Linked DNA regions of Macaca fascicularis. The protein of the gene in region 3 interacts with the protein of the main gene of each other region in a pairwise test. Links are inferred from orthologs where the notes say so. Each region holds a gene or a part of one and is shown on either strand. Other genes may lie near its edges.

Evidence for each region.
Region 1: the proteins of GOLGA2 (region 3) and C1H1orf35 interact in binary tests that used the Homo sapiens proteins (3 or more experiments, as listed by UniProt). The two-hybrid records come from large-scale screens. The link is inferred for Macaca fascicularis from reciprocal best matches to the Homo sapiens genes GOLGA2 and C1orf35.
Region 2: the proteins of GOLGA2 (region 3) and NDN interact in a two-hybrid assay, tested with the Homo sapiens proteins (2 studies listed by BioGRID and IntAct). The link is inferred for Macaca fascicularis from reciprocal best matches to the Homo sapiens genes GOLGA2 and NDN.
Region 4: the proteins of GOLGA2 (region 3) and NXT2 interact in binary tests that used the Homo sapiens proteins (3 or more experiments, as listed by UniProt). The two-hybrid records come from large-scale screens. The link is inferred for Macaca fascicularis from reciprocal best matches to the Homo sapiens genes GOLGA2 and NXT2.
Region 5: the proteins of GOLGA2 (region 3) and RAB39A interact in binary tests that used the Homo sapiens proteins (3 or more experiments, as listed by UniProt). The two-hybrid records come from large-scale screens. The link is inferred for Macaca fascicularis from reciprocal best matches to the Homo sapiens genes GOLGA2 and RAB39A.
Region 6: the proteins of GOLGA2 (region 3) and PRKAB2 interact in binary tests that used the Homo sapiens proteins (3 or more experiments, as listed by UniProt). The link is inferred for Macaca fascicularis from reciprocal best matches to the Homo sapiens genes GOLGA2 and PRKAB2.
Region 7: the proteins of GOLGA2 (region 3) and SCAF8 interact in binary tests that used the Homo sapiens proteins (3 or more experiments, as listed by UniProt). The two-hybrid records come from large-scale screens. The link is inferred for Macaca fascicularis from reciprocal best matches to the Homo sapiens genes GOLGA2 and SCAF8.

Annotation. Positions count from the first base shown.
Region 1 is NC_088375.1:86,009,764-86,014,049, forward strand, and holds C1H1orf35 (multiple myeloma tumor-associated protein 2), read right to left. Parts: upstream 2,813-4,286; 5' UTR 2,714-2,812; coding exon 2,620-2,713; intron 2,540-2,619; coding exon 2,389-2,539; intron 2,179-2,388; coding exon 2,133-2,178; exon of another isoform or gene 2,051-2,132; coding exon 1,968-2,050; intron 1,883-1,967; coding exon 1,810-1,882; intron 1,666-1,809; coding exon 1,580-1,665; exon of another isoform or gene 1,280-1,579; intron 977-1,279; coding exon 842-976; intron 762-841; coding exon 641-761; 3' UTR 265-640; downstream 1-264.
Region 2 is NC_088381.1:5,296,500-5,299,929, forward strand, and holds NDN (necdin), read left to right. Parts: upstream 1-1,274; 5' UTR 1,275-1,362; coding exon 1,363-2,328; 3' UTR 2,329-2,901; downstream 2,902-3,430. UniProt on the Homo sapiens protein: Growth suppressor that facilitates the entry of the cell into cell cycle arrest.
Region 3 is NC_088389.1:15,723,317-15,727,570, forward strand, and holds the end of GOLGA2 (golgin subfamily A member 2), read left to right. Parts: intron 1-126; coding exon 127-372; intron 373-456; coding exon 457-532; intron 533-956; coding exon 957-1,063; intron 1,064-1,316; coding exon 1,317-1,535; intron 1,536-1,622; coding exon 1,623-1,725; intron 1,726-1,807; coding exon 1,808-1,914; intron 1,915-1,991; coding exon 1,992-2,148; intron 2,149-2,235; coding exon 2,236-2,450; 3' UTR 2,451-3,683; downstream 3,684-4,254. UniProt on the Homo sapiens protein: Peripheral membrane component of the cis-Golgi stack that acts as a membrane skeleton that maintains the structure of the Golgi apparatus, and as a vesicle thether that facilitates vesicle fusion to the Golgi membrane.
Region 4 is NC_088395.1:116,105,072-116,109,411, forward strand, and holds the start of NXT2 (NTF2-related export protein 2), read left to right. Parts: upstream 1-1,461; 5' UTR 1,462-1,484; coding exon 1,485-1,579; intron 1,580-2,241; exon of another isoform or gene 2,242-2,350; intron 2,351-2,541; coding exon 2,542-2,626; exon of another isoform or gene 2,627-2,722; intron 2,723-2,804; exon of another isoform or gene 2,805-3,000; coding exon of another isoform or gene 3,001-3,012; intron 3,013-3,646; coding exon 3,647-3,733; intron 3,734-4,340. UniProt on the Homo sapiens protein: Regulator of protein export for NES-containing proteins. Also plays a role in mRNA nuclear export.
Region 5 is NC_088388.1:106,968,719-106,972,304, forward strand, and holds part of RAB39A (ras-related protein Rab-39A), read left to right. Parts: intron 1-275; coding exon 276-702; 3' UTR 703-3,586. UniProt on the Homo sapiens protein: The small GTPases Rab are key regulators of intracellular membrane trafficking, from the formation of transport vesicles to their fusion with membranes.
Region 6 is NC_088375.1:113,062,458-113,066,496, forward strand, and holds the start of PRKAB2 (5'-AMP-activated protein kinase subunit beta-2), read left to right. Parts: upstream 1-1,204; 5' UTR 1,205-1,250; exon of another isoform or gene 1,251-1,510; 5' UTR 1,511-1,533; coding exon 1,534-1,689; intron 1,690-4,039. UniProt on the Homo sapiens protein: Non-catalytic subunit of AMP-activated protein kinase (AMPK), an energy sensor protein kinase that plays a key role in regulating cellular energy metabolism.
Region 7 is NC_088378.1:63,117,853-63,121,438, forward strand, and holds part of SCAF8 (SR-related and CTD-associated factor 8), read left to right. Parts: intron 1-97; coding exon 98-254; intron 255-2,164; coding exon 2,165-2,298; intron 2,299-3,586. UniProt on the Homo sapiens protein: Anti-terminator protein required to prevent early mRNA termination during transcription. Together with SCAF4, acts by suppressing the use of early, alternative poly(A) sites, thereby preventing the accumulation of non-functional truncated proteins.

The DNA.
Region 1 (4,286 bases), on a different chromosome or scaffold from region 3:
AAAATTAGCTGGGAGTAGTGGCAGGCGCCTGTAATTCCAGCTACTCAGGAGGTTGACAGGAGAATCGCTTGAACCTGGGAGGCAGAGGTTGCAGTGAGCTGAGATAGTGCCATTACACTCCAGCCTGGGAAACAAAAGCGAAACTAAAAAAAAAAAAAAAAAATCACCAGGCCTCAGACTCCTGGAAGACAGACCCCAGCTCCAACCTCCCAGTGGGATCTCATTTAACTCTTGACACTGACCTTCCAATTAGGATGATACACCTTCCTTTTAAAATATATTTATTGAAATACAAAGAGTCAATGTAAGGAAAAATAGAGGTCACCATACTTGGCCACAGTTAGACCGCTCATAGGCCCATGGCTGCTGTCTCTACTGGCAGAGGGAGTCCAGCTTCTACTGGTACCTCTGGGCAGGTTCACCTTCACAGGGCAAGCCAGGGACCATCCCCGCTATGTGAAACCTGGAGGTTTTCCAGAGCTAGCTGTCTAGCCATTAGCCCCACAGGCTGGTGCCCAGAGCCACTTCCACAGGAGCAGCCCCGGGCTTCACCCACACACGAGGGGCTTCCGAGGCAGGAGGCAAGCAAGGCAAAGGGAGAGTTCAGGGTCCCACAATAGCAGTGAGCAGGGTCCAGCCATCAGGCCTCAGAGCCTCTGTCATGCCACCTGCGAGACGGACTTCTCCTGTCCCCACTGTGTCCCCGCTTCCTCCTCTTACAACAGGGGGAGTTGGAATAGGAGTCGTGGTGGTGCCTGGGCCTGGGGAGACCAAGGGCAGTCACTCAGAAGGAGTCAACCAGGCTCCCACCCACAAGAGGCAGACATAGACCAGGGCATACCTCTCGGGAGATGTGGGAGAGGAGGCAGCCTCAGCTGGCTGCCTGTGCTCTTTGTCTTTCTTCTTCTTCTCTTTCTTGTGTTTCTTCTTTTTCTTTTTCTTCTTCTCCTTCTTGCTTTTCCTGTGGCTCTCAGAGCTACAAGGAGGATACAAGGCGCACCTCAGACCCTAGTCTTGCAGGCCAAGAGAGTGAACACAGACCCCAACCAGGAGATGAAGCCACCACCCACAAGTGCGTCTTTAAATCAGTTAAATCAGACTACCAATTCCACTCCTCAGTAATGCAGTCACGTGGCCAGTGGCTGCCCTGGGTTAGAAACTGATGCGATATCCCTATCTCCACAGCACGGCCCTGTTACACCCCAGCTGTGCCCTTGACAGGTTGACACCTTCCTACTTGCACCCACCAGGCCACTCTTGGGGTCAGGCCCAGGCTCACCACCCAAGAGAAGCCCTGGAGGTGCCACCCATGGAAGGAAAAGGCCCCGCCGCAGGTCCTGAGCGCCCTCCCACGGCGCAGCCCGCGACCACTGCCAGTACTTAGGACCTCTCTTCAAGGGTGACCCGAGAAACTCCCCTAGAGAAAAACCTAGGAGTAAGTGGGACAGGAAGTAAAGTAGGGCAGGCCACCGGCCGGGCCGGTGCGCCAAGAGAAGCTGCCACCTGCCGGAGCGGGAGCCGCTGAGGTCCTCCCGAGACCCCCTCCGGCGCGCAGCTCGCCCAGTAGGTGCAGCCTCACCTGCTTTCCGTCTGATCCTCCGCCCGCGGCTTCCTCCTGGCCGAGGTTGCCGAGGTCCCGGGCCCGCCGCTCTCTACGCGGTGATGCTGCGGGAGAATCGCGCTCTGGGGAAGAGTCTGAGGGCCGGCCCCACACCACGCCCCGCAGTGCCCCGGGGAGCTACGTTCAGTGCCCCCGCCCTGCGCCACCCCTGTTGGCCCCTGTTGCGGTCAGGCGGGGCGGGGAATTACCGTGAACACAGACAGCCCCAGTTTGGCGGCTTCCTTGTCCTCTCGGGACATCGCCACGCGGCCCACGGAGCCACTGCAGGAACACGGCGATGAAGACAGTCCGTCAAGGGCCCGCCTCACCCGAGCAATTCTGCCCTCCCCTGGAAACCTGCTCGCACCTGGCGCTCCCCAGCCCCAGCAGCCGGTCCACGCCCTTCTCCTCGGGGTCGCCTCCTTCCCGCTTGCAGACCTCCGCGAAATCCTGCAGGTGCGGGAGCACAGGCAGCGTTCCGGACGGCCCCACACCCACGGCCCTCCACGTGCCCCCCACTCCAGGGAGTTACCTCCTTGCTCAGGCCCGTGGGCTGCTTCTTCACGTTCTTGTAGCCACTGCGAGAGGACCAGAGCAGGCGTCAGGACGGACAGACCTCCTCCCACCACGGGTCCTCACCACTCCAGCCTTCATCCTGAGGGTCCCACCCGCGCAAGTCCCCGCAGCCCCGCCCCCGCCCAGCCCGACCCCCAGCCCCCGCCCCTGGCCCCACCCTGCCCCGGCAGCGAAGTCCCAAGCACCGACCGCTGATGTCCGCGGACACTCACAGGGCGGCCAGCAGCGCCTCCCGCTCCGCCTCCCGCACTGCTGCCAGTTCCTCCTCGCGGCTCGGGCCCGCGCACGGCGCCCGGCCCTTGGCGTACCAGGTGAGGTCGCGGCCCTTCTGCCAGCGGCCTACGGGCGCCATCAGCGAGTTGCCTGCGGACGTAGGCGCCGTGAGCCCAGCGCCCCCCGGGAGGCCGCCCGCCGCGCCCACCGCGCCCACCGCGCCCACGGACCCAGGTAGTTCTCCCGCTGCTTGTCAGTCTTCACGTCCTCCCAGTTGAACTGGTCCTGCCCGCCGCGCACGCCTCCGCGACTGGAACCGAACATGGCGCCCGGGAGGCAGTTGCCTGGGGCCTGCGGCCTGCGACCCGCAACCCCGGACCCTCTGTACCCACTACCGTAGGACCCAGGCCCGACCCCGCCTTCGCGTCGCGCGCCGTGACGTCACCCGGCGCCCACCCGGCTTCGCCCCGCGCGCCTGCGCAGCGCACCGCCCCGGCTCTGTGCTCCCGCGCGTCACCTTCAAGCAGGCTTTGGGCGCCTGCGCACTGCGCCTATCCTGCCCAGCGCGGGAACGCCTCTGAACTGTACGTTTAAAAATGGTTAAAACCGGCCTGGGCGCTGTGGCTCCCGCAGCACTTTGGGAGGCCCAGGCAGGCGGATCGCTTGAGGTCGGGAATTCCAGACTAGCCTAGCCAACATGGTGAAACCCCGTCTCTACTAAAATACAAAAATTAGCCGGGTGTGGTGGTGCACACTTGTAATCCCAGCTACCCAGGAGGCTGAGGCAGGAGAATTACTTGAACCGGGAGGCGGGGTTGCAGTGAGCCGAGATCGCGCCACTGCACTCCAGCCTGGGCGACAGAGCGAGACTCTGTCTCAAAAAAAAAAAAAAAAAAAAAAGTTAAAATGGGCCAGGCGCGCGCTTGCTTGCGCGCCTGTAGTCCAACGCTTTGAGGCTGAGGCGGGAGGATCTCTTGAGCCCAGGAGATCGCGCCACTGCGCTCCAACCTGAGCGAGTGAACGAGACCCTGTCTCATAAAAAAAGAAAACACACAGGATGCGCCTAGCTAACACCGCCAATTGGTCACTGCCAGCCGCGATTCCATATGGGGAGCTTAACAAGGTAATGCCCTAATGATTTGTGGAATTTCTGAGTATTACCCAGTAAACTTCTGGATGAACCAGCAGCTACCCAGACACCCTCAGAGCACTGGTCCCATCCTTGCTGTGGTAAACTGAATGTGCACCCTAACTCCCACGTGAAATCCCCAACCCAAGGCGTTGGTGCTTCGGAGGTGACTAGGTCATGACGACAGAGCCTTCATAAAAGAGACCCGAGAGCTTTGTGCAGCTTTCCACTGTGCGAAGGCAGCGGGAAGTCTGTAGTCTGGAAGAGACCCCTTCCCAGAACCTCAGCATGATGGGCACCCTGATTTTGGAGGTTGTGGCATCCCCCTGCTTCACCTTTCCACTTTCATTCCCAGTGGTGACCAAGAAACAGAGTCCCTTAGCCGCTCTGTGACCTCGCCAACGGTATAATTTCGTCTGCAGACTTGAACCTGAGCCATAGCCATGAACGTTCCCAGGCACAGATGACAGCATCTAGGTTGTTGCTCAAAACACAGAAAGAAACTGGACCCAGCCTGAGCCAGATTCCTTAAACCCTCATATAAACTCCATTCGACAACCCCCTCCCCATGGACATACCTAGAGAGAACATTCATTTCTCTCACCACCCGTTGCAAGAACTGCTGCAGCCCACTCTGTACAAAAGCCCTGCTAATAAATGCTCTGGGCGCATTACCCTGGCATGCTCAATCTTTCTGTAGAATCCTAACCAGCCCCATCTCAGCATGGTGTGGGGCACTCCCTTGTGGGAACTCTACTGCCACCACTT
Region 2 (3,430 bases), on a different chromosome or scaffold from region 3:
CAACATCAACCTGCTTGAGGAAAAATAAAGTGACAAGTGGGAAAAGATATATACTCACAGCGAGGACTCTAGACATGTTAAGACAATTTTTAAATGTGCTTTTGGCTTCGAGTGGCAATAATTAGACTCAACATATTTAAGAAGCTACTGATGAGAAGAAACCCTGGAAGCGCTGAAGGACCACATCAGCCCAGACCAAGGATGCTGAAGCAGCATCAAGGCCCTTGGTTTCAGAGGCTCCACCAATGACCCTTTTTTCATGGAGAGCCTGTAGGAGCGAGTTTTGTCTTTGCCCAGTGGGAATCTGTCTTCTATACTTGGAAAACAGGGTTACCCATGTTGCCCCTGCTACCCTTGGGTCATCTCAGAGACACTACCAGATATTACCTATGAGACCTAGTTGTTTTTTTTTTTAAATCTCAGGAAGGACTTGGGTGTGGCTTCCAACGTGGAGGACTCAGTAGCTTCAGAGAGGGTCCTGGGAGAAGGTGAATCGGAGAATAAGGGTGCTGGGCAGAGGGAAAAAGACATTATCATACAAGTTTGTGCTAAAAGATATAGCAATCCTTCTGCTATGGACTAAGTATGGAAAAAAATAAAATGGAATCAAAGTGACCCAAAGGAAATGTAAAACCCAAATTTATGCCCACTAAAGCATTAATGATGCTCTAAGTCCGCTGCCTACTTAAAAGGTTCATAGTTCACATGGGTTGACAGGAAATTACGTTAAGGACACGCTGCATTTCTCCTTTTCTTACAACCCCTCTGATTTGGTAGGGAGGGAGTCAATCATTTTTTATTGGAATTTCTCAGGATTCCAACCTCAGACATACACTTTACACATTTTCTTGGACAAGCCCGACTGTTCCTCTCACTCGTTCGCATAAAGCTCAAGTTTACACAGCCGCCCAGACCTTTCTCTGGGACGCTCATATTTAACTTAATTCTGGATATATCAGGTAAGCGTTTCCCAAGAAACTTGACCCCAACATCCCAAAAACTTAAGTTATCATCTTTCTCCTAAACTGGCCCCTTCTCCAGTACGCATCCATCGCACTCTTCTCCTGCCCTAGATCCCCTCAGCCCAAACGGGAAACCCCGGGATCGCTCTCTCCGCAGGTGAAGCTTAGCCAGGGACCCTCCCCGTCGGGGCTCCGCGCTGCCCCGCCCGCCCCCAGCCGCTGGCCAAGGCCGCAGTCGCGCAGGCGCAGTGCCGCGTCCCGCCGCCGCCCCGCCCTGCCCGCCGCTGCGGAAGGCGCCGCGCACAGCAACGCGCACTTCCTCTCCAGGAATCCGCGGAGGGAGCGCAGGCTTGAAGAGCTCCTGGACGCAGAGGCCCTGCCCTTGCCAGACGGCGCAGATATGTCAGAACAAAGTAAGGATCTAAGCGACCCTAACTTTGCAGCCGAGGCCCCCAGCTCCGAGGTGCACAGCAGCCCTGGGGTTCCGGAGGGGGTTCCTCCGTCCGAGACCCTGGCAGAGCCGCAGAGCCCTCCTTTAGGCCCGACGGCCGCCCCGCAGGCCGCGCAGCCTCCCCAGGCCCCGAGCGACGAGGACGACCCGAAGGCCCTGCAGCAGGCCGCGGAGGAGGGCCGCGCCCACCAGGCCCCGAGCGCGGCCCAGCCCGGCCCGGCCCCGCCAGCCCCGGCGCAGCTGGTGCAGAAGGCGCACGAGCTCATGTGGTACGTGCTGGTCAAGGACCAGAAGAAGATGATCATCTGGTTTCCAGACATGGTGAAAGATGTCATCGGCAGCTACAAGAAGTGGTGCAGGAGCATCCTCCGGCGCACCAGCCTCATCCTCGCCCGGGTGTTCGGGCTGCACCTGAGGCTAACCAGCCTGCACACCATGGAGTTTGCGCTGGTCAAAGCGCTGGAGCCCGAGGAGCTGGACAGGGTGGCGCTGAGCAACCGCATGCCCATGACAGGTCTCCTCCTCATGATCCTGAGCCTCATCTACGTGAAGGGCCGCGGCGCCAGAGAGAGCGCGGTCTGGAACGTGCTCCGCATCCTGGGGCTGCGGCCCTGGAAGAAGCACTCCACCTTCGGGGACGTGCGGAAGCTCATCACTGAGGAGTTCGTCCAGCAGAATTACCTGAAGTACCAGCGCGTCCCGTACGTGGAGCCGCCCGAGTACGAGTTCTTCTGGGGCTCCCGGGCCAGCCGCGAAATCACCAAGCTGCAAATCATGGAGTTCCTGGCCAGGGTCTTTAAGAAAGACCCCCAGGCCTGGCCCTCCCGATACAGAGAGGCTCTAGAGGAGGCCAGAGCTCTGCGGGAGGCTAATCCCGCTGCCCACTGCCCTCGCAGCAGTGTCTCCGAGGACTAGCCAAGTCTGGAGGCAGATGAATGCTTTCTGATCCTCACCAGGGCTGTGGAAGGGTGGGGGTGGGTCATTAGAGTGTTCAGGATTTACAGTGCAGTATTCACGTGTAACTTTTACGTTTCCAGTACAGTGCTTTTATACCTTTAATGCAATGTTGTATTCATTTGGGTACTATTGTGTAGTATTTAGGATGTATGCATGTTTGTTTATATGTAAGCTTGGTTGGTGCTTTCGCTTTTGTGGTACCTTTCTTGGATTTTTGTATCAGAGACGTGCTAAACTGATGAAGTACATTGAGAACGTTTCCATCTTATTAATTTACATGGGACTGAGATGTGTGTTGGGGTAGACTGCTCCTGCAGAGTTTGGAAAAACTCACCAGCAAAGCCGGCCTAACCAAGAAATGTCAAGGCCCTCATGACCTTGCTGGGGACTGAAAACATCCTCGTGGCGTAAACTAATTTGAACTGGACTGGTCTCAATGTGAGAGCACTTGGCACACTTTACTAAACACATATACAACCCCACCGTGAGTCAACTTTAAAGTAAACATTAAAGATTCTTGTGATACAATCATTTCTGGAAGTGTACGTTATCATTTTAACAAAGCAGTATGGTTGGGAATGAGACAATTCTCTGTTTTACAGTATACACAGATATAACTGTTTCCCCTAATGGGGTGGGAAAAATCGCTACTCATGATTACTCCTAAATTTGTGAAGTTTGTGGTTTTGTCTTTAACTCATGTTTATTTCAAAAACATGCACAAATATAGAAAAGCATAAAAAACAAAACAGTAAGATTGTCCATAATCACATCCTATGGGAATAAAAACCAAAAATAATTTCCTTAAGTTTCTACATTTTATCAAAATTAATAGATGCTTTGTGGGCACTTAAAGAGTGAGACATTGTACATGAGCCCTGACGTGTATTTTTCTCCTTTTATCTAATCCTCACAACAGGCCTGTCAGGCAGGCAAGAACTGCCTCTGCACCATGGAGGAAACACAGGAATAATGTAGGTAATGGACTTTCCATAGCTCATACAGGTTAATAAGAGAAGGCGCTAGGACTAGAACTCACAATGAATCCAGAGTCCACATT
Region 3 (4,254 bases):
CCTGGAGCAAGGGGCCAGAGGTCTGGGCAGGCAACAGAGCCTCACAGAGCCCTCGCTACCCTATTTATGGGCCCCAAATCTGAAAGCAGTACACCACCTGCCCTCACGCCTAGGGTCTTCCTACAGGTGGAGCTGAAGAGCCAAGAGGCTCAGAGTCTACAGCAGCAGCGAGACCAGTACCTGGGACACCTGCAGCAGTATGTGGCCGCCTATCAGCAGCAGGTGGCCACCTATCAGCAGCTAACCTCTGAGAAGGAGGTGCTGCACAACCAGTTACTGCTGCAGACCCAGCTCGTGGACCAGCTGCAGCAGCAGGAAGCTCAGGGCAAAGCGGTAGCCGAGATGGCCCGCCAAGAGTTGCAGGAAGCCCAGGTGAGGGAGTTGCTGAGGGCAGGGCCCCGAGGGGGATGACCTGGCAACCTCCATGCCGTCTCACTCTCTTTCTTGGCCCCTTAGGAGCGCCTGGAATCTGTCACCCAGCAGAACCAGCAGCTACGGTCCCAATTGAGCCTCATGGCTCATCCTGGGGAAGGTACGGGAACCTGCTCACAGGAAGAGGAGAGAGCCCCAGGAGGAAGGGGGGACTGTTAGCAGTGTGGAATTGAGTTGGAAGAGACCTTTAGAACAGCTGGTCATTATGCCAACTGGGTGTCCACACTAAGTTCGGCATCATTATGGTGACTTCCTGGGAGCAGGGGACTAGCAGGTTGCCTAAGGATGGGTGAACTGGCCCAGGTCAGAAATGAAGCAGGTCAGAACTCCCATGCTGATCGGTAGTGGGACTGCACCTGGGCAGCATAGCGAGCTCTTGGCTCTTAAAAAAGAATAAAATAAAAAGCTGCTCATTCCCTTCTGGGGAGGGGCTGGCCCAGGGTTACACAGTGAGGGTGGGGGCAGAGGTGGGCACACTGTACCCTTGTTGGGTTGTCTGATGACCCCTCTGGCCACCCCCACAGGAGATGGACTGGACAGGGAGGAGGAGGAAGAAGAGGAGGAGGAGGTGGAGGCGGCGCCTCGGCCCATGCCAAGCATCCCGGAGGACCTGGAGAGCCGGGAAGCCATGGTAAGGCTGACTCCCCTCCCTGGCCTTTGCTGTCTCCCTCTGTGGTCCCTCCCAGACCCCCTTCTGCTCTTGGTTTCCCGGCCTTCTGATTTATTCAGACTCACCGCTTTCCTGGGAGCCAGTGGTCAGACGCCCATTTCACCTGGGACCAACAAGTGCAGCCTCTGAGGCCCCAAGGGAAGGGCTGCTCTCTACCTCCCTGCCTGTTCGTCCTATATATCCTCCTACAAGAACGCACCTCTCTTTCCTGCAGGTGGCATTTTTCAACTCAGCTGTAGCCAGTGCCGAGGAGGAGCAGGCAAGGCTACGTGGGCAGCTGAAGGAGCAAAGGGTGCGCTGCCGGCGCCTGGCTCACCTGCTGGCCTTGGCCCAGAAGGAGCCTGAGGTGGCAGCCCCGGCCCCAGGGACTGGGGGCGATTCTGTGTGTGGGGAAACCCACCGGGCCCTGCAGGGGGCCATGGAGAAGCTGCAGGTGAATGAGTCTCTCCTGGCATGGGTCAAGAAGGGTGGGGGCGGGGCTGGTCGCTGCCAAGATGTGACTCCATTGTTTTGGTTCCAGAGCCGCTTTATGGAGCTCATGCAGGAGAAGGCGGACCTGAAGGAGAGGGTAGAGGAACTGGAACATCGCTGTATCCAGCTGTCTGGAGAGACAGACACCATTGGTGAGTGGGAGGCCAGGGCACGGCAGGAGGAGCTGCACAGTGGTCAGAGGGAACCCAGTATCTGAGCCCTGTCCTTCCGCAGGAGAGTACATCGCACTGTACCAGAGTCAGAGGGCAGTGCTGAAGGAGCGGCACCGGGAGAAGGAGGAGTATATCAGCAGGCTGGCCCAAGACAAGGAGGAGATGAAGGTAGGGCGTGGAACATCTCTGTGGGGGTGGAGGTGGGCACGGGCACAGGCATGGCAGCTTAGCACCCCTCCCTCCAGGTGAAGCTGCTGGAGTTGCAGGAGCTGGTCTTACGGCTTGTGGGCGACCGCAGCGAGTGGCATGGCAGATTCCTGGCAGCTGCCCAGAACCCTGCCCATGAGCCCGCTCCAGGGGCCCCAGCCCCCCAGGAGCTTGGGGCTGCCGACCAGCAGGGTGGTGAGTAGAGCCCTCGGGAGGGGTGGGCAGGCAGGAGCAAGGGAGGGCTTGCGTGGCGCTCAGAGCCCTGCCTCTCTCTCTCCAAAGATCTTTGCGAGGTGAGCCTCACCGGCAGCGCGGAGGCCGCCCAAGGAGAGGCCAGGGAGGGCTCTCCCCGTGACAACCCCACTGCACAGCAGATCATGCAGCTGCTTCGTGAGATGCAGAACCCCCGGGAGCGCCCAGGCTTGGGCAGCAACCCCTGCATTCCTTTTTTTTACCGGGCTGACGAGAACGATGAGGTGAAGATCACTGTCATCTAAAAGCCGGCCGCTGTCAGCAAAGCCTGAAGAAGGGGGGCTGGAGACCCTGCCCCCACTATATCCCTACCACCCCCTCAGTGACCCCTTTACCCTTCCAGTAGCAAGCATAGACCCCTGTCTAACGGGGGTAGACAGGTGCAGATGAGGTGAAGATCACTGTCATCTAAAAGCTGGCCACTAAACTTAAAAAAAAAATTAAAGTTATGGGATTAAAAGAAGTTATGGGATAAAGAAGGTTATGGGTAAGTTATGGTATAGAAGTTATGAAAAAAGGCCGGGCGTAGTGGCTCACACCTGTAATCCCAGCACTTTGGGAGTTCAGGAGGTCAGGAGTTCAGGACCAGCCTGGTCAACATGGTGAAACCGTGTTTCTACTAAAAATACAAAAATTAGCCAGGCATGGTGGCGTGTGCCTGTAATCCCAGCTACTCAGGAGGCTGAGGCAGGAGAGTCACTTGAACCCGGGAGGCGGAGGTTGCAGTGAGCTGAGATGGCGCCATTGCGCTCCAGCCTGGGCGACAGAATGAGACTCTGTCTCAAAAAAAAAAAAACAAAAAACACGGGATTAAAAAAAAAGTCAGGATAAAAATTTTAAAAAGCAGGCCACTGTCAGCAAAGCCTGGAGAAGTGGGGCCGGAGGCTCCGCCCCCATCATGTCCCTGCCACCCCTTCCCAGTCACCCCTTTACTCTTACAGTAGCAAATAAGACCCCTGTCTAATGGGGGGAGACAAATGTGTAGAGCCTTTGCCACCTTGGCCAGGGCTGATTCCTTAAATTTCTGGATGATGATGATTGTTATTTAATAGCCAGAGGCTCATAGAATTGACTTGTTTGGAGGAGGCCTGATGGCCTCCTTACTCTCACCAAAGCAATTTTTCCCTCAGGGGGGCTCCCATCTTCTTACACAGAGAGGCAGCTGAGGCAGGACAGTGGGGTTAACTGTAGACCAGGTGAGGGCACGGGCTGCTGGGGTGGCCCCGCTTCCCCAGTGTACATATTGTATCTGTGTAACATTTTGTATATTCCAGGGGTAGGGCAGCCCCCTGTATCATACCTAGCAGAGGTTGGAGCTGGCACATGGGGAGGAGGTTCTAATAATTATTTGGGGCTGGGAAACTTATTTATTGATAGCATAGGACAGAGGAAGGAGGCGGGGATGGGGTCGTGGCACCCTGGTGATGCAACTCCTGTTTATTTTGCTTTTTATTTCGGAATAAATGGATTTAGCCATACTGCTCCGCCTGGCGTGTTCCTGTTTCTCACTGGGTTCTGGAGTTTGTGCCACTGAACGGGGAGCCCCAGAGTGTCTGAGCCTGCGCATGTGGGCTGTTGGGACCTTCCAGGCCTGTTACCGGTATGCTGCCTGGTGACATCTAGGGGATTACACAGGGACTACCATGGTACCTATGGGGACAGTTCGGCCCTGACGGCCAACAGGCTCAGAAGCCTGATCTAGCGGTGGCCGGGAAGGCAGGGTGCCAGCACCCAAGGTGTCTTCTGTTCTGCCCTCCTGCCTCCCTCGCCTGCCTGAGCCTGGTGGCCTGTTCTGTCTGTCCCTCCCCAGAATGCTGGCCACCCCGCAGGCTCCCTCTAGACTGAGTTAATGGCCCTGCCCCCTAGTGGCCAGAGCCGGCTTCACAGGGTGAGAGCCAACTAAGCTCCAGGGACTTTCCAGGAAAAGTGTCCCTTGGAAAGGATGTGGTCTTTTTACCGCCCCCAACAGCACCCTAGTAATGGCTTAGCCCTTCCCCTCCCCTGAGCTCCAGAGAGAACACAGCCAGCAGAGGAGACATTCCCCGTCAT
Region 4 (4,340 bases), on a different chromosome or scaffold from region 3:
CCGGTGTCTGAGGAGTTTTGTCTGCGGCTCGTCCTGCTACATTGGTCCCTGAAGGACAGGTAGAAATGGAGGGAACCTTCCAAAAGAAGAATATATAAGTAAATGCATGAATAGCCAAGTGTCTAAAAGCAGACTTTGGGATTTGAAAGTTTGGGGGGGAAATCCCAGGCCCACTAGCTGTATCATCTTAACCAATTTACTTAACTTCTTTAAACTTAAGTTTAAATTTTAAAAAATCTAGATAATAATGTCTGCCTTTCTGGGGGTCTTGAGGATTGAATGAAATCATATAAAACACAATCTCTCAATCAAGAAAAACAATCACCAATAAAGCAGTAAACATCAGTCATTCTTGGCAACCAGTAGTAGTTAACTTTGCCAGTGTTGGTGAATTTGGGAGAATAGCCTGGGAAAATAAATTCAGATCAGACCAAGGTAGGTATTTAAAGATTATGAGTTTGGAAGAAAATAGGCAATAGAGTTATCAAAGTTTGTGTGGGAGGAGAGAATGAGAGGGGGAATGAGAAGGGGAAAGGGAGAGAAGTTCGGGGGGAGAGAGGGAGGAGAGAACGAGACGGGAAAAGTGAGAGAAGTGTGGGGGAGAAAGGGAGGGAGAGAGCCAAAAAGAGAGAGGGAGAAAAAGGAAAAGAGTTAGCCGGACCTGGTGGCTCGTGCCTGTAGTCCCAGCTACTCTACTCGGGAGGCTGAGGCAAGAGAATTGCTCGAACCCAGGCGGCGGAGGTTGGCAGTGAGCCAACTTCATGCCACGGCACTCCAGCCTGAGCCACAGAGCCAGACTCCGTCTCAAAAAAAAAAAAAAAAAAAAAAGAAATAAAAAAAAAAGGGAAGAGGGAGAAGGGTAGAAGGATTGCTATAGGGAATGGTCAGAACTAAGCAAGTTACTCAGTATTTCTTTGTAACTCATTGATGTTATGTTTATTGTCTAGCACTCTCATTACACTTTGAGCCTCATAAGAATACGAAACATGTCCATTTTATTCTCCACTATATATACAGAGCCTTGCACAATCCTTGGCACACAGTGACTACTTGATAAATATTTATTGAATGAATCATGATAAGGAGGAGAGGGAACCAAAAAAATAAAGATTCCGAGAATTCAAGATAGGCGACTGGGAGAATACAAAAGTTTGGAAGTGCAGAGGAAATAATGAGTTTAAATTTTGCACGTACAAGTTTAAGAAGCCTATAGTGCACTCGTGTTCATGTTTAGCAAAATTCATATGTGTAACTGGACCTCAGATAAGCGGTGCGGGCTTGGGATAGGTTGTTAAGATTCATTAGCATACGGGTAGCAATTTACATCACCCTGAAGAAGGGAGGCTTTAAAAGGGGGGATGCACCGGAAGTGACGCCAGTCAGAGGTTAGGTTAGCGGAAAACGGAAGCAGAGTGGCCGAGAAGCAGCTTCCGTTAGCACTACCTTAAAAGGAAAAGAGCCAGATAAAGAGAAAGGTTAAAAGTATGAGAAAGTGCAGAAGCCACTGGTCTCAGGGAGACAGAGAAAGACACCAAAGAAGAAGTCACTATTATGAGGGACCACACACCAGCCACTCAAGGTAAAACTACAACATCTAATTAATTTGCCATTTAAATCAGAAGTCGTTGGCGGCTTTGGGATGAGAGGTTTTTAAGGGGTGTTGGGGAGCAAAGCCAGATTGCCGTGATAGTTATATTGCTTGAGTTTGAATCTCAACTAGTCTGTTACCGTAGGCAGATTCACTCCATCTTAGCTGTAAAATGAAGATTATAAAATAATAGCAATTACCTCAGCATTGTTATAATAAGTGGATATATGTAAAACTGATTAGAAAAGCACCTTACATACAGTCAGCGCTTCACATTTTAGTTATTGTTAGAATACTTTGCAGAATAAATAGCCCTTAAAAGGTGGTGAATGGCACTGTGAACTTAATTTTTGTTGGTGTCTGCAAGACATTGTAAAATGCCAGAATGGGGAAACTAGATGAACTTTTCCTGTTGAATATGGCTAGGTTAAAATGAAACAGTAATTTTAGGCATACTGCCAAAACATAGTAATTCAGTGAGGGTGATCCTTCCAGAATGTTCCAGAATGCTAAATTGTTCACTATTCATGCACGCCTTTCCCCAAGCTCCGCCCATTTATCCTATAGGCTACGGAATAGGAGGTCTCGCATTTCGAATTGGTCTCCAGAGGACTTTGGCTCCGCCTCCTGGGGCAAAAAAAGTCCCTGTAATTGAACACTTTCATTTTTGCTTGTCCCCAGGCTTGTCGGTAGAAAACTAAGGGACTTTCCTTTTGAGTATCATGTTTACAAAAGCGAAGTGGTTTTTAAATTTTAAACTAAGTAAGTATCAAACAAGTAGATAAGGCGGATGGGAGGGATCTGCAGGAACTGAAGGGCGGTGGAACTTAAGGTTGGAACATCGGTGTGCTTTTAACGACGGACCGAGCTACTTCCGGGAGAGAATGGGAGGGTGGAAAATTCTGTGCGTTTGGCGGGTTTCGCTCTCTTCATAAGTATTGATCATTCCGCAGCTGTGGGGGCCGGACACGTGAGGAGGTAGTGACGCCGCCACTGCCGGAACACGCTGCTGCAGGCTCCCCGATGGCCATGTCTGTGGTGAGTGCTTGGGCTGTGGCAGGTCTGCTGGGCGCCGGACTCCAGTGGCTGATTGGAGGGACTCCGGGGCGGTCTGGTTGCTGCTCACGTGGATAGGTGACGAATCACGGCCCGGCTCTCTGTACTGCGGGGCGGGGCCCACGTTTTGCTGCCCGCCTTGCCGGCCCCAACCCCGCCTGTTTTGCTGTCGCTTTCTGGTCCCGGAAAGGACCCTGAGCTGCGAAATAGCGAGAGGCGGGGGTTTGGGGTTTGTTGTTTATGGCTTGCAGTCTCTTTTTCTCGATTATCTTCCTCTCTAAAAATCACTTTCAGTTACCTGACAAACTGGCGATTCATTGTTCTTAATTCTGTAATAGACTGGGCCCCGTAAATGAATGAGAAGGAAGGTATTCCTTAATTCTCCGGCACGAACGCCAACAGCGTTGCTTTCTTCGGTTTCACGGTTCTTATGCAAACAGCAGTGAAAGTTCACGTAATGTGGGAAAGTTTCCTAAGTGGAGCTGCCAGTTTTTCAAGTAGTTGAACTACTTTGGGGTGTGTGTGTGTGTGTGTGTGTGTGTGTGTGTTCCGTTCAACAACTTTGGAGTTTGGCCCTAACATCTCACTTGGAAAAGAGAAAACACTTGCCTAGCTTATTCAGTGGCAGTTTTCGCCGCTCGCTCTCCTTTTCTAAGGGTCAGGTGGTGTCATTTTCATTGCCGTGAATGTTTGTAAAATATTGAAAGTCTAAAGTACTTAGTTGCCAAGAAAAGATTATAAATTTATATGTAGAGACTGAAAAAGACTCAGATTCATTGAGAAGATTATGTCCTAAAGACATGCACTTAAAGTTAGTGAAAAATTTTAAAATTGCAAACTTTAGAGTCCAGCCTTTAAAATGTCTGAATTTATATGAAAGAATGTGGACTATATATAGAACTACATGGTGGTTGAAATAAATCATCAGCTTCTGTCAGTGGTTTTGTGTTTGTGAGGGGTTGAAACGGTTGGTAATCTATACTTCCGGAATTTTTCTTGTAGGATTTTAAAACTTATGTAGATCAGGCATGTAGAGCTGCTGAGGAGTTTGTCAATATTTACTATGAGACAATGGATAAAAGAAGACGGGTGAGTGTTATAGACTCTACTACTGTTTTTAGACTACTACTTGTTATTAAATACCAGGTCGTGTCTGGAGCCAGCGTTTCATCTGCCTTGCATAAGTGGTAACTGTGGACTTACCCTTTAAAAGCAAATTGCTCAGGGAAGGATTGGTATGGCATTCATGGGAACATGGGCTCTGGAATCATATCCCAGGTTTACCTTTACCTAGTTTTTTAACCTGGAGCAAGCTGTCATTTTCCCTCAACCTCATTTTCTTTTCAGGTTGGTAAGTATGAATTAATTAAAATACCGCACTTAACATTGGGCCCAGCATATATTCACTTAAATATGTTTCCTTTTCTTAGTTCCATCAGTTAACCAATATGGTTAAGGTAGTATTAGTGCTAATGGAGGGGTCGGTCATTACCGGGAATATTTCCTGATTCGTCCCTTTTATTTCATATATTTATAGGTAATTTCTGATTATGGTTCAGAAGTATAGCTTACACCCACAAAAAGTATGCATGTAGCATGGATAATATTAAGTCCTCAGCAGATCGAGATTTCATCAGCTTTTTCATTGCAACTTATCCCTGCACCGTATCTTTTAAGTAATTATGTCAGTATGTAG
Region 5 (3,586 bases), on a different chromosome or scaffold from region 3:
CAAAAACAATCAGACAGTACGAGATGACATAGCATGTAAGTGCTTATTTGTCTATCTAAAAATAACTGCTACTTTCGTGTTCTGTCAGTGTATGAAACTTGCATATTAGTCTTGTAGAATATTTTTGTTCACTTGAGATACCTCATATTTTATTTATAAATTCTAGTTAAATCATATTAAGATATCTTCAAATGTTATTATGGTGCTAGATTGTTGGAAGGAGAAGAAAAAGAACAAGTTGTCCTTATACAACCTTTTTTCTGTTTATTTTTCAGATCAATAACCCGATCTTATTACCGCAACTCAGTTGGTGGATTTTTAGTATTTGACATTACCAACCGGCGATCTTTTGAACATGTGAAAGATTGGCTAGAAGAAGCAAAAATGTATGTACAGCCGTTTCGGATTGTATTTCTGCTAGTGGGACATAAATGTGATTTAGCTTCACAACGTCAAGTTACAAGGGAAGAAGCTGAAAAACTGTCAGCAGACTGTGGAATGAAGTATATAGAAACCTCAGCAAAGGATGCTACAAATGTTGAAGAATCCTTCACAATCTTGACAAGAGACATATATGAACTTATTAAAAAGGGAGAAATTTGTATTCAGGATGGCTGGGAAGGGGTTAAAAGTGGTTTTGTTCCAAATACTGTGCATTCTTCTGAGGAAGCAGTAAAGCCCAGGAAAGAGTGCTTCTGCTGACTTCAAACGTGCCAAAGAACTCACAGGAACAGATTGGCTGTCATTTCAGGATAAATACCAACATTAACAGCAGAATGATGCAATAAAAGCATTTAAAAAGGTTACAAACCCACACCAATACTATTTTGTAAGGTATTTGATTCAGAGCGCTATGCTTACTTGTTACACTACTAGACTGGGTATTTTGCTAAATTGTCAAGCAAAGCAGACAACCTTTTTCTTGAAAGTACCTCCATTCTCACTTCGTTAGCATATGCTGACCTTAGTGTCCAGCTATGTCAATATTACTCATTTTTCTTGACAGTTCAAATGGATTTTTGTGAATATATAATCAATTGAAAAGATTTTATTAGGAATTACATTCTCTTGAGTTAATTAATATTGAATAGCAAAATGCATTTAAATATGTACTGTTCACCTGCAGAATAAACAATCTCAGAAGTATCGACTAGGACGTAAATAGCAGTTCCTTGTATAAGGTACCAGGTTTTCTCCCCATTGTCTGGAAATGTTTGCCCTCCCTTAATTTTGCCTCAACACAAGAAAATAAGTTTTATGTTCATTTTTGTTCTCTAATTTATTGCTTCTAAAAATGCATTATGTTTTACAAATATATCTAAAGGATCCAAGCACACTATTTTAAGCAAATATTTGTAAAATTAAAAACAGAGGACCGCTCACCAAATGTTTGAAATGTTGATTTTTTTTTTTTTTTTTTTTTTTGAGACAGGATCTTGTTTTGTCACCCAAGCTGGAGTGCAGTGGGGCAATCTTGGCTCCCTGCAACCTCTGCTTCCTGGGTTCAGGTGATTGTCAGTACCTTACCTCAGCCTCCTGAGTAGCTGGAACTGCAGATGTGCACCACCATGCCCGGCTAATTTTTGTATTTTTAGTAGACACGGGATTTTTCCATGTTCCCCAGGCTGGTCTCCAACTCCTGGCCTCAAGCAATTCGCCCACCTCAGCCTCCAAAGTGCTGCTGTGCCCGGCCTATCAGCAGCAAATGTTTTGCTGTTACAGTGTACTGTTCATATTTAGACAAGAAAAACTAAATTTATTTATGTATTGACATTTTCAAAGAAAGTAAATGCAATTTGCCTTGAACTATTGTCAAAATTATTAATATAGGTAAACATAGAATGTTTTTAATAATAGCATTTTTGTCCAAGTAAATTTCCAAATTTCCTCATTTCCAATATGAAAAGAATGCAGAAAAGATTTTTCTGTGCAAGGAATATTGGTTAGATGTTTGATATATTTAGCCTTCATATTGCATTTTACAATCTCATCAGTACAAGTGAAGATAGAATAATCAATTAAGACAGTAAAATGACTTTTGAGTTTCCTAACTTTTAACTTATTGATTAAACTCTCCTGGAAGGGATATTTTGATCATAGTGTCAAATATTTTATAATGTACATTTCTATTCTGTCCTGTACACTTCTTAATCACAAAAGAGTACCAAGTGAAGTTTTTTGGAGTCATAAAGTTTTTACTCTTAACCTTTAATTGCTTCATTTGTTTGAAAACCAAAGGGGCATAGTAGAAAGAATATTTGATAAGAAACCAGAAAACTTGGTTACCAATATCTAACCATGAGTAAGTCACTTGACCTCTCTAAGAACCATTTTTCTTATTTGTAAAATTAGGCTAATAACCCATTAGTGTGTTTCATGGAAAATTATTTTGAGAATCTAGTGAATCATGCAACAAACGCTTTGTAAATAGAGTAAGCATTTTACAGATTTGAGAATGATATGCTGCTCATGGGCATACTATTATATTTGCAACGGGTGAGAATTTTGTTTTCTCATAATTTTTCCTTTCATTCCTATACAGAGGGAGTAGAAAAAGATGTGTGTTTTCGTGGACCCGTAGGAATTCTTGATTGATGCATATCCTCTAGCTTATTTTGTGGGGGCGGGGGAGGAGAGGGAGGGATCTCGTTCTGTTGACCAGGGTGGAGTGCAGTGGCATGATCAGCTCACTGCATCCTGGACCTCCCAGTCTCTAGCGAGCCTCCCACTTTAGCCTCCTGCTAGCTGGGACCACAGGTACACGCCACCACGCCTGGCTAATTTTTTATTTTTTGTAGAGAAGGGTCTCCCTGTGTTGCCCAGAGTATAGGTCTCGTACTCCAGGGCACAAGCGATCCCTCCACCTCGGCTTCACAAAGTGCTGGAATTACAGGCATGAGCCCCCGCGCCAGCTTCCTCTGTTTTTTTTTACCCTTGAGCTATTGTTCCCGCGAAGTGGAAATAATAGAGAGGGACGTTCCTGCAGTCTTAACCCAATCAAAAGTCACGTTTGTACTTTTTGTGCATCTTTGAAATAGATGTTTAATTGTAGTTTCAAATACTTGTACCTTTTCTGAGTTCATGTATTTTTAATTGTGCTTATGGAGAGAATATAAATTATAACTATATACGGTATCACTATTTATATTGTCAGCATTTTCTTGATATCCTTAAGTTAATTTCACATGACTTCAAACCATAATTAACCAAATGAGAAAATACTTGTCCCCCAAAATGTGAAGTAGTCCATTTTACTATTACAGTTTTCAATCTTATATGACAATTTCCCATCGGTCCAAAATGGCATAAACCCAAACACTGAAAATCTAACAGCAGCTGAAAGTACAGTCACCTGTGCCTACTTCTAAAGTTAAATAGCTAAAACATAAAATGTGATTTAAATTTCAGTGGACGCCCTTTATAATTCTAATGTCGGGAGGGACTAATATTTGGGCTGAAGGATATCATGTGTTCCAAGATTTAAAACAGAACTAAAGAACTAGAATAAAAACAGGAAGGCAGGGTCCAAAATTCAAGGCGTGAACAGAAGGAAGCCTAGAACTCATCTCCTAGCACCTTATTCACC
Region 6 (4,039 bases), on a different chromosome or scaffold from region 3:
GAGAAGGCGACATGCAAATACTTCTAATACAAAGGTAAGTACCTTAGGGATTCCACTAATTTTCATAAAAAACCTGGATCCCTCCCAACCCTACGACTGTCTTTGCCTTTTTTATACCTTTAGGGTTCCTTCTGATGTTTTCGTTGTCGCCATCTTCCTTGAATTTTATTTCTTCTGAGGTTTCTCACTGCGTATGCTGTTTCTTAGACTAGGAAAGCCTTTTCGTTATTCTCCTAAGACTAACATTTTACTAATTTGTCAAGGTCTAGCTCCTAAATACGCCATCTTGAATTTTCCCTGCGACCCCAGTCGGGCTGACAGCTCCTTCCTTGTCGCTCCCTATTGAGCAGGTTTTTCTTGTGGGGGGGGGGGGCGGGGAGGCGGAGGGACGGAGTGTCGCTCGGTCGACAGGCTGGAGTGCAGTGGCGCGATCTCGGCTCACTGCAACCTCCACCTCCCGGGTTCAAGCGATTCTCCTGCCTCATCCTCCCCACTAGCTGAGACTTCCGGCGCGCGCCACCACGCCCAGCTAATTTTTGTATTTTTAGTAGAGACCAGGTTTCAACTTGTTGGCCAGGATGGTCTTGATCTCCTGATCTCGTGATCCGCTCGCCTAGGCCTCCCAAAGTGTCGGGATTACAGGCGTGAGCCACCGCGCCCGGCCAGAACAGTTTTAACCTCCAGCAATGGCCATTGCTTCCTTCTGCCTGCAGTTGGAAGTCAGTTTCGGTTTTCTTATTCCCTGTAAGGAACCCCCCTCTCCCGTCGCCTAACACACAGATGCTGCCCAGAAAACGTGCTGGCGCACCTAAGGCGGGGTGGAAAGCCGCGTCGCTTCTCCCGGCACCGAGCGCCGGAGCCCAGGGAGGCGGCCTCCGAGTGTCCTGTTGGAACGTCCCTTCCGCCGGGTAGTCTCAGAGGCCCAGCGCTCCAATGATCCCGGGTGCAGTCTCCCCAGGCGGCACAAGCCCTGCCTGGCGCCCCCTCCTGGCGCTGGAGGCTGCGTGCGACTGCCCACCATCGAGGCGGCGGCGGCTAGAGAGGCCGGCGGGCCCGGGACGCCGAGGCTGCAGGCCGCAGGGAACGCGCACGGGGCCGACTCCGCGCCGCCGGCCTTGTAGCCATTTTAGGAGGAATCGCTGATCGCCAGCGAGGGGTGCGGCTTCAATTTCAATAACTTTATTGGTGGCCTGATCTGCAGAACAGTCATCACTTCAGTGGTCCCTGGAGGAGGGAGCGCATCGCCCGAGGTGACTGGCGTGGGGGCGCCCCTGGCAGTGAGCGCGGGGACGCGGGGGAGTCCCGATAGCGGGTTTCCTGACTAGGGGCAGCGAGGGCACCGGGGTATTTGCAGGCATTCCCGCAGGCCAGGAGGGAGAAGGCTCCGGGGCTTGGCTTCCCTGGGGCGGGGAAATCTCTTGCCCTGTCCCAAGGCGTATGGGCGGGGCCGGGGGGCGCCCCTGACGCGGCTACTGAGGTGTTCCCAGCCCGGTGTGGTTCTCCGCGGTAGGTGGTCCCCGACGAGCTGCAGCCATGGGAAACACCACCAGCGACCGGGTGTCCGGGGAGCGCCACGGTGCCAAGGCTGCACGCTCCGAGGGCGCAGGCGGTCATGCCCCGGGGAAGGAGCACAAGATCATGGTGGGCAGTACGGACGACCCCAGCGTGTTCAGCCTCCCCGACTCCAAGGTAAGCGTCCCACGCCCGCAGTTGGTGGCAGTACTGCAGCGGGTTGATTTCCGGGCTCCTCTTCCCTTTCTTGGTTCTTTTCTGCCGCGCGGAACCGGGCTATGGTTTTTTGAATTAAAAGGATTTTTCGGGGACAGAGGTGTTGGATGGTAATCCCTCTTGCAGTGCCGCCTCAAAATAGGATAAAGAGGCGGAGTTCTTGTTTTCCTGGTGTTCTGACTAATCTGTTGGCCACATTTTTAGGATGGGGACAATAGACATCCCCGATCCTTGGTTCTTCCTAACATGCACGAGTGGCTCTCCTCTATAGCGTTGCTGAATTTGTAGTTTGTTAGCCCTGGTGGACAACTTCAGAGGGTAGGTTGCACGAGTTGCTGACCATAGGTGGTAGTTTCTCACCTTTGCCCTGAGGTGGCTACATGAAATTCTTTTTCTGAAAATTTCTATGTATCAGTATCATTTTTGCCCTCCTAGCAGCTCTGCACTTGTGATCTTCTTCCCTTTTGGCACGGCTGTAAGCAGCAACTACTTGCTTATTGAATAATTTCCCCTAGTCTTGGGGATCAATTAAGGACATCATTTGGTTGACTGCTTAATTTTTGTCCCATACTTTATAGTTGTGGTGGCTGAGGCTGTGCCTCTTTCACGCCCCGCTGCTGCTCCGCAGGTGGAAGAGCCAATGATTCCACGACTTGTTTACTCTCCAGTAGTACTTCAAAATGTTGCGTGGCTAAAAAGCGACAATCCATAGCTGCCTTGAAGACCTTGCTCTCAATTCCAAGGACTTTCAGGAAGAGCCAACTTGTTTTTTCACTCTGTAAGAAAGGACAGATGGAGCTGATAGCAGCGATTACCATTCTAATGTTTCTAATCGCTTTTAGAGCTGTCAGCATGAAATACATGTAGTTTCTCCAGGTAGACTGACTGGATGAGATAGAAAAATGGAGGGCTTGAGGAGATTGGGGTGTGTTTGATGTTTCCTATCATTTCGTCACTTCCCAGGGAACTGGGGCTTTAGAGAGTGAATAGAGTATTATTTGTCATATTGGTAGCACGTGGAATTTGGATTCCATGATTTATTTCCTTGGATCTCAATTGATAACATCGTCACAGCCGGGCGCGGTGGATCACGCCTGTAATCCCAGCACTTTGGGAGGCCGAGGCCGTTGGATCATTTGAGGTCAGGAGTTCGAGACCAGCCTGACCAACATGGTGAAACCCCGTCTCTACTAAAAATACAAAAAAATTAGCTGGGCGTGGTGGTGCATGCCTGTAGTCCCAGCTACTCGGGAGGCTGAGGCAGGAGAATCGCTTGAACCTGGGAGGTGGTGGCTGCAGTGAGTGGAGATCCAGTCACTGCACTCCAGCCTGGGCCACAGAGTGAGACTCTCAAAAGAAAAAAAAAAAAAAAAACAAACCATAATCACAGAGAAGTGAGAAGTGAGAGTGATTAAAAGGAGCACTTATTGGTGTTTATTCTCCATTCTTATTTGGGCTATCTACAAGCCATCTGAATTTACGTATTCAAAGCTTTCGAAAGATGATCTGCCTCATTATATTTTTACCCTTTTCCTACGCTGATGACTCAGGATTTAAATACAGTGTATTTGTTGAACTGTGACTGCAGTAATTGGTGTCCTGATTAAAAGCCAGGTTGCTCTGTCTGAACTGGGGCCTATTTTGTATTATTCTTATCTCTCACATCAGTCTTGGCATTTGTGAATTAAGAAAATTATTCATATAATTTTCAGATTGTCTGAAAATTAGTTCAGATAATTCCTAAGGTCTCATTTAAATCTAATATTTTATAGTTCTCAATCTACCCTCTTTACTTCTAACCTCAACATTTTACTTAAACATCAAACTGTAGTTCTAATTGTTGTTTTGCCTCTTTTCTTGGTAGTTTTGCTGAGTAACTTGGAGTAAATAATCTTTCTGCTCGTCAGCCGCATTCATTCCTACTACAGAAATGTCATGTCATAAGTGGAAGGGCTTTCCTCCAAGGCTAGGCATATTAATAGTTTGTAGCTTTCAAATTCTAAACTGAAAATCCTGTCATAAAAGTAACTGATAGAAACAGTGGTAGGGGGGCCTACTTTGCTTGAATGCCTGCCTTTTTCAGTGGACTAGCTCAGTGGTTCTCAATCCTGTTTGCACATTAGAATCACCTCAGATTTCTTTACATACTTTTTGGAAATTTTTAAACATTGTCAAAGTAGGGGGAAACAATATAATGACATCTATATACGTGCCACCCAGTTTGAACAATGATCAGATCTTGAATGAACATATAACATCTATACCCCAGTCCACTATTCCCCCACTAGTTATTTTGAAGCAGATTCCCAGA
Region 7 (3,586 bases), on a different chromosome or scaffold from region 3:
TGTGTTTACATTGTTTAAATAAAATTTCTAACTTTTAACCTTGTTTTTATAGTATGTGTATATAAGCTTTCTTTTTTCCTCTTCCCATTTACAATAGATCGCTTGGGCTTTAAACAAAGGTGTAAAAACAGAATACAAACAATTCTGGGATGTGGATCTTGGAGTTACATATATACCATGGGAAAAAGTTAAAGTGGATGACTTGGAAGGTTTTGCAGAAGGAGGCATGATTGATCAGGAGACTGTAAATACTGGTAAGAATTTTAAGGTCTTTTTATTGTTAAAAAAAGTATGGTTAGAAGGTTGTAGCCGAAATGAATTTGGGGTGATAGCATTAACTGTGTATCCTGGATTCATCTCCCAAAAAAGAGAAAAGATACATTCCTGTGCCCTAGTGTACATGCTTAATGGGACCTATTTCATAGATGTCAAAGTATAGATTAGAAAGTGTGGAAGTCTATATAAATGTAGCATTTTTAAATGTATGAGTTTTTTTTTTTTCCATTTTTATACTTGAGAGTTGTGTGTAGGAGGGATTTTTAAAACTAAATATTTGTGATTGCTTCAGTTTAAGTGGGAACTTGGGAAGTTTCTTTGAAACACTTTGCAGATTATTTTGAGTAGTATCCATGTTGAAAATAGCAGGAATAGAATCTTAGTTTAGGGAGGTTCAGATTCATACAATGTTAAATACTTTCTGGGATGCCTTTTACAATACCAAATGATCATCCAGCCTGCTTTTTTTTTTTTCCCCCAAAAATTGTCTTTTTATTTTAAAAGATTTCAGTTAAAAATTGACAAAATGATTTGCAGTTATAACCAATAGGAAATCTAAACATTTGAAAAAGAACTGGAATGTATATACACACCTTTTTTCTTCACACCTTAGCTCGTTTATCAGAATTAGCTAATTTTCCGAATATTTGTTTCTCAGACCAATGCAAAATTTTGAACCATTTTTGTTTCTATTAAATTCTTCCTGTCAGGCCTACTCTTCACCCCACCCGCGCCAATGGCTGCTTATTCCAGTATCTTCACTTAGTAAATATTTTACTTTGTACTGTGTATCAGGCCTAATTTTAGGAACTGGAATTATAGCAGTGAGATAAATAGACAAAAATTCTTCCTCTTGTAGAGTGTAGCGCAGAGGTCAGCAACCTACTATCCATGGTCCAAATCCTGTTGGTAGCCTGTTCTGTAAAGTTTTATTGAAACACAGCCATGCTCACTTGTTTACCTATTTTATATTACTTTTTTTTTTTTTTGCAATAACAGTTCAACACTTGCAGCAGAGAACACATGGCCCATAAAGCCTCAAATGCTATAAAGTTTACTAGCGCATGTTTCACACATTATCTGTGAAGAAAACAGATAAACAAAATAGATAAATAATATAGTACTTTAGTGTCAGTAAGTTCAAAGAAAAAAAATCAGGGAAGGGAGATGGGCAATGTGGGCGTGGAGGTGTTGCAGTTTTTATGTGCTTGTAGAAGATCTAATGGAGATGAGATATTTGGAAGTGTAAGGCATGCAGCCATCTGGGGAAAGAGCATTCTATACGGAGGGAACAGCAAGTGCCATGTTTGTATTCAAAAATAAGGAGACCAGTATAGCTTGTGCAGAGTGAGTGAGGAAGGAGTAGTAGGAGATCAAGGCAGATAGGCACAGAGGGGCAAAGTCATATAAATCTTGATCTTTACTTTGAATGAGATGGAGAAGCATGAGAGAGGAACCATTAGAGCTTCTTTGTTCTCTTTTTGCATAGCTGTGTTTTCAGAAGGATTTCATTGTATTGGATTAATACTCTTCTAGTTGGTCTTCCTTTGTTGTATTTTGTGATTAAAAAATTGAATATGGTTAGTTCCTCTTATATCAGCCAGCCATTGAGATATACGTGTCTATTATATCCCTTCTAAGTGTTTTCTTTAGATGAAATATTTTAGTGTCTTTCCTTTGTGTCTCAAGTGTCATGGTTTTTTGAACTCCATAGTATCCTAATCAGATTATTCTGGGCAGAAGTCTAGAGTGGCACCTACAGTTTTGGGTATATCTTAAAGATGTGCCAAGGTAGATGAAGAATTTAGATGTGAAATAAATGAATACAAAGAAGAAAATGAAAAGTTGCACCTATCCAAAGGAAATCAATTTCAAATATTTTGTTTAGAGTGGGAAACTGTGAAAAGCTCAGAACCTGTTAAAGAGACGGTCCAGACAACTCAGAGCCCAACTCCAGTTGAAAAGGAGACAGTGGTCACAACCCAGGCAGAGGTTTTCCCTCCTCCTGTTGCTATGTTGCAGGTTAGTGTTGAAGTGGGTCTGTTTTTTTTTTTTTTTTCCTTAATGTGTTCTTTTACATTTCTGTTTTTAATCATGTATTTACTTTATCAAACCGGAATGAAAATCTCCATATCAGAATAAATGGTTGTCAGTAGTTTTAGGGAAAAGAATATTTCTTTTAAATCTCTTGGAAAAAAAAAAAAGTCTGCTAATGCTGTGGTATCATTGTGCTTAACACATTAAAATAAAGATAAATATGGAAATATTGTTTCTGAGAACTCACAGGATTTTTTTAGATTCATGTTTTTCTGAGGAGTCAAATTGATAGAACAGTAAGTTATTTTAATGAGTTTAATCAAATACTTTTTGAAAAATTATTTTTAGAAATGATGTCATTCGTATTTAAATATGTTTATTGAACAAATATTTATTGAGTACTGGCTCTGTGACACTCTTCTAGGTATCAGTGAAAAACCCCCACAAATCTCTGCCCTTTTGGAGCTTTTATTCTCAATAGTGGTGACAGAAAATGTAAAATAAATATGATTATGAGATCCTATGGAAGGAAAAAGGTAGCATAAGGCTGATCTATTTTAAATAGAATGGTGAGGATAGACCTAATTGAAAATGAGAAATTTGAGCAATGACTTAAAAGCACTAAGGGAATTAACCATGTGGATATCTGATGAAGAACATTCTGTTCAGAGGCAACAACCAGTGCAAAGGTCCCACACCAGGAATATGTTGGTGTGGTCCAGGAGTGTTAAGTGGGCTAGAATAAAGCCAGTGAAAGGCAAGTTAGTTGAAGATAAATCTTTCTAAGGACTTTGGCTTTCACTTGGAATGAGATGAGGATGGTGGGTCTTTACATGTGACAAAAAGAGAGAGAGATGAGGAGCCATTGGAGGATTCTGAGCAGAGGAGTGACTTGATCTGGCTTACAGTTTTAAAGAATTGCACTGGTTACTACTTTGAGACTAGGCTGTAGTGAGCTTTGAGTAGGGAGACCAGTTAAAAGACAGTTGTAGCAATCCAGATGAGAGCTGGTGATGGCTCAGAATAGACTTCTGGAGTGTCTGTTGCACTGGAGGTAATGAGAAAATAGTGGAGGTAATGAGAAATGGTCAGATACTAGGTGTATTTTGAAGGTGTTGTAACTAACAGGACTTTTCCTAGTGTGATTGGATTTGGGATTATTATGAGCAAAAGCAGAGGCAAGGTTTTTAGTCCAAGAAATTGGAAAGATAGAGTTACCATTAACTGAGACTGGGAAAGACTGTGAGAAGAGTTCTTTTGGGAAGGATGACTG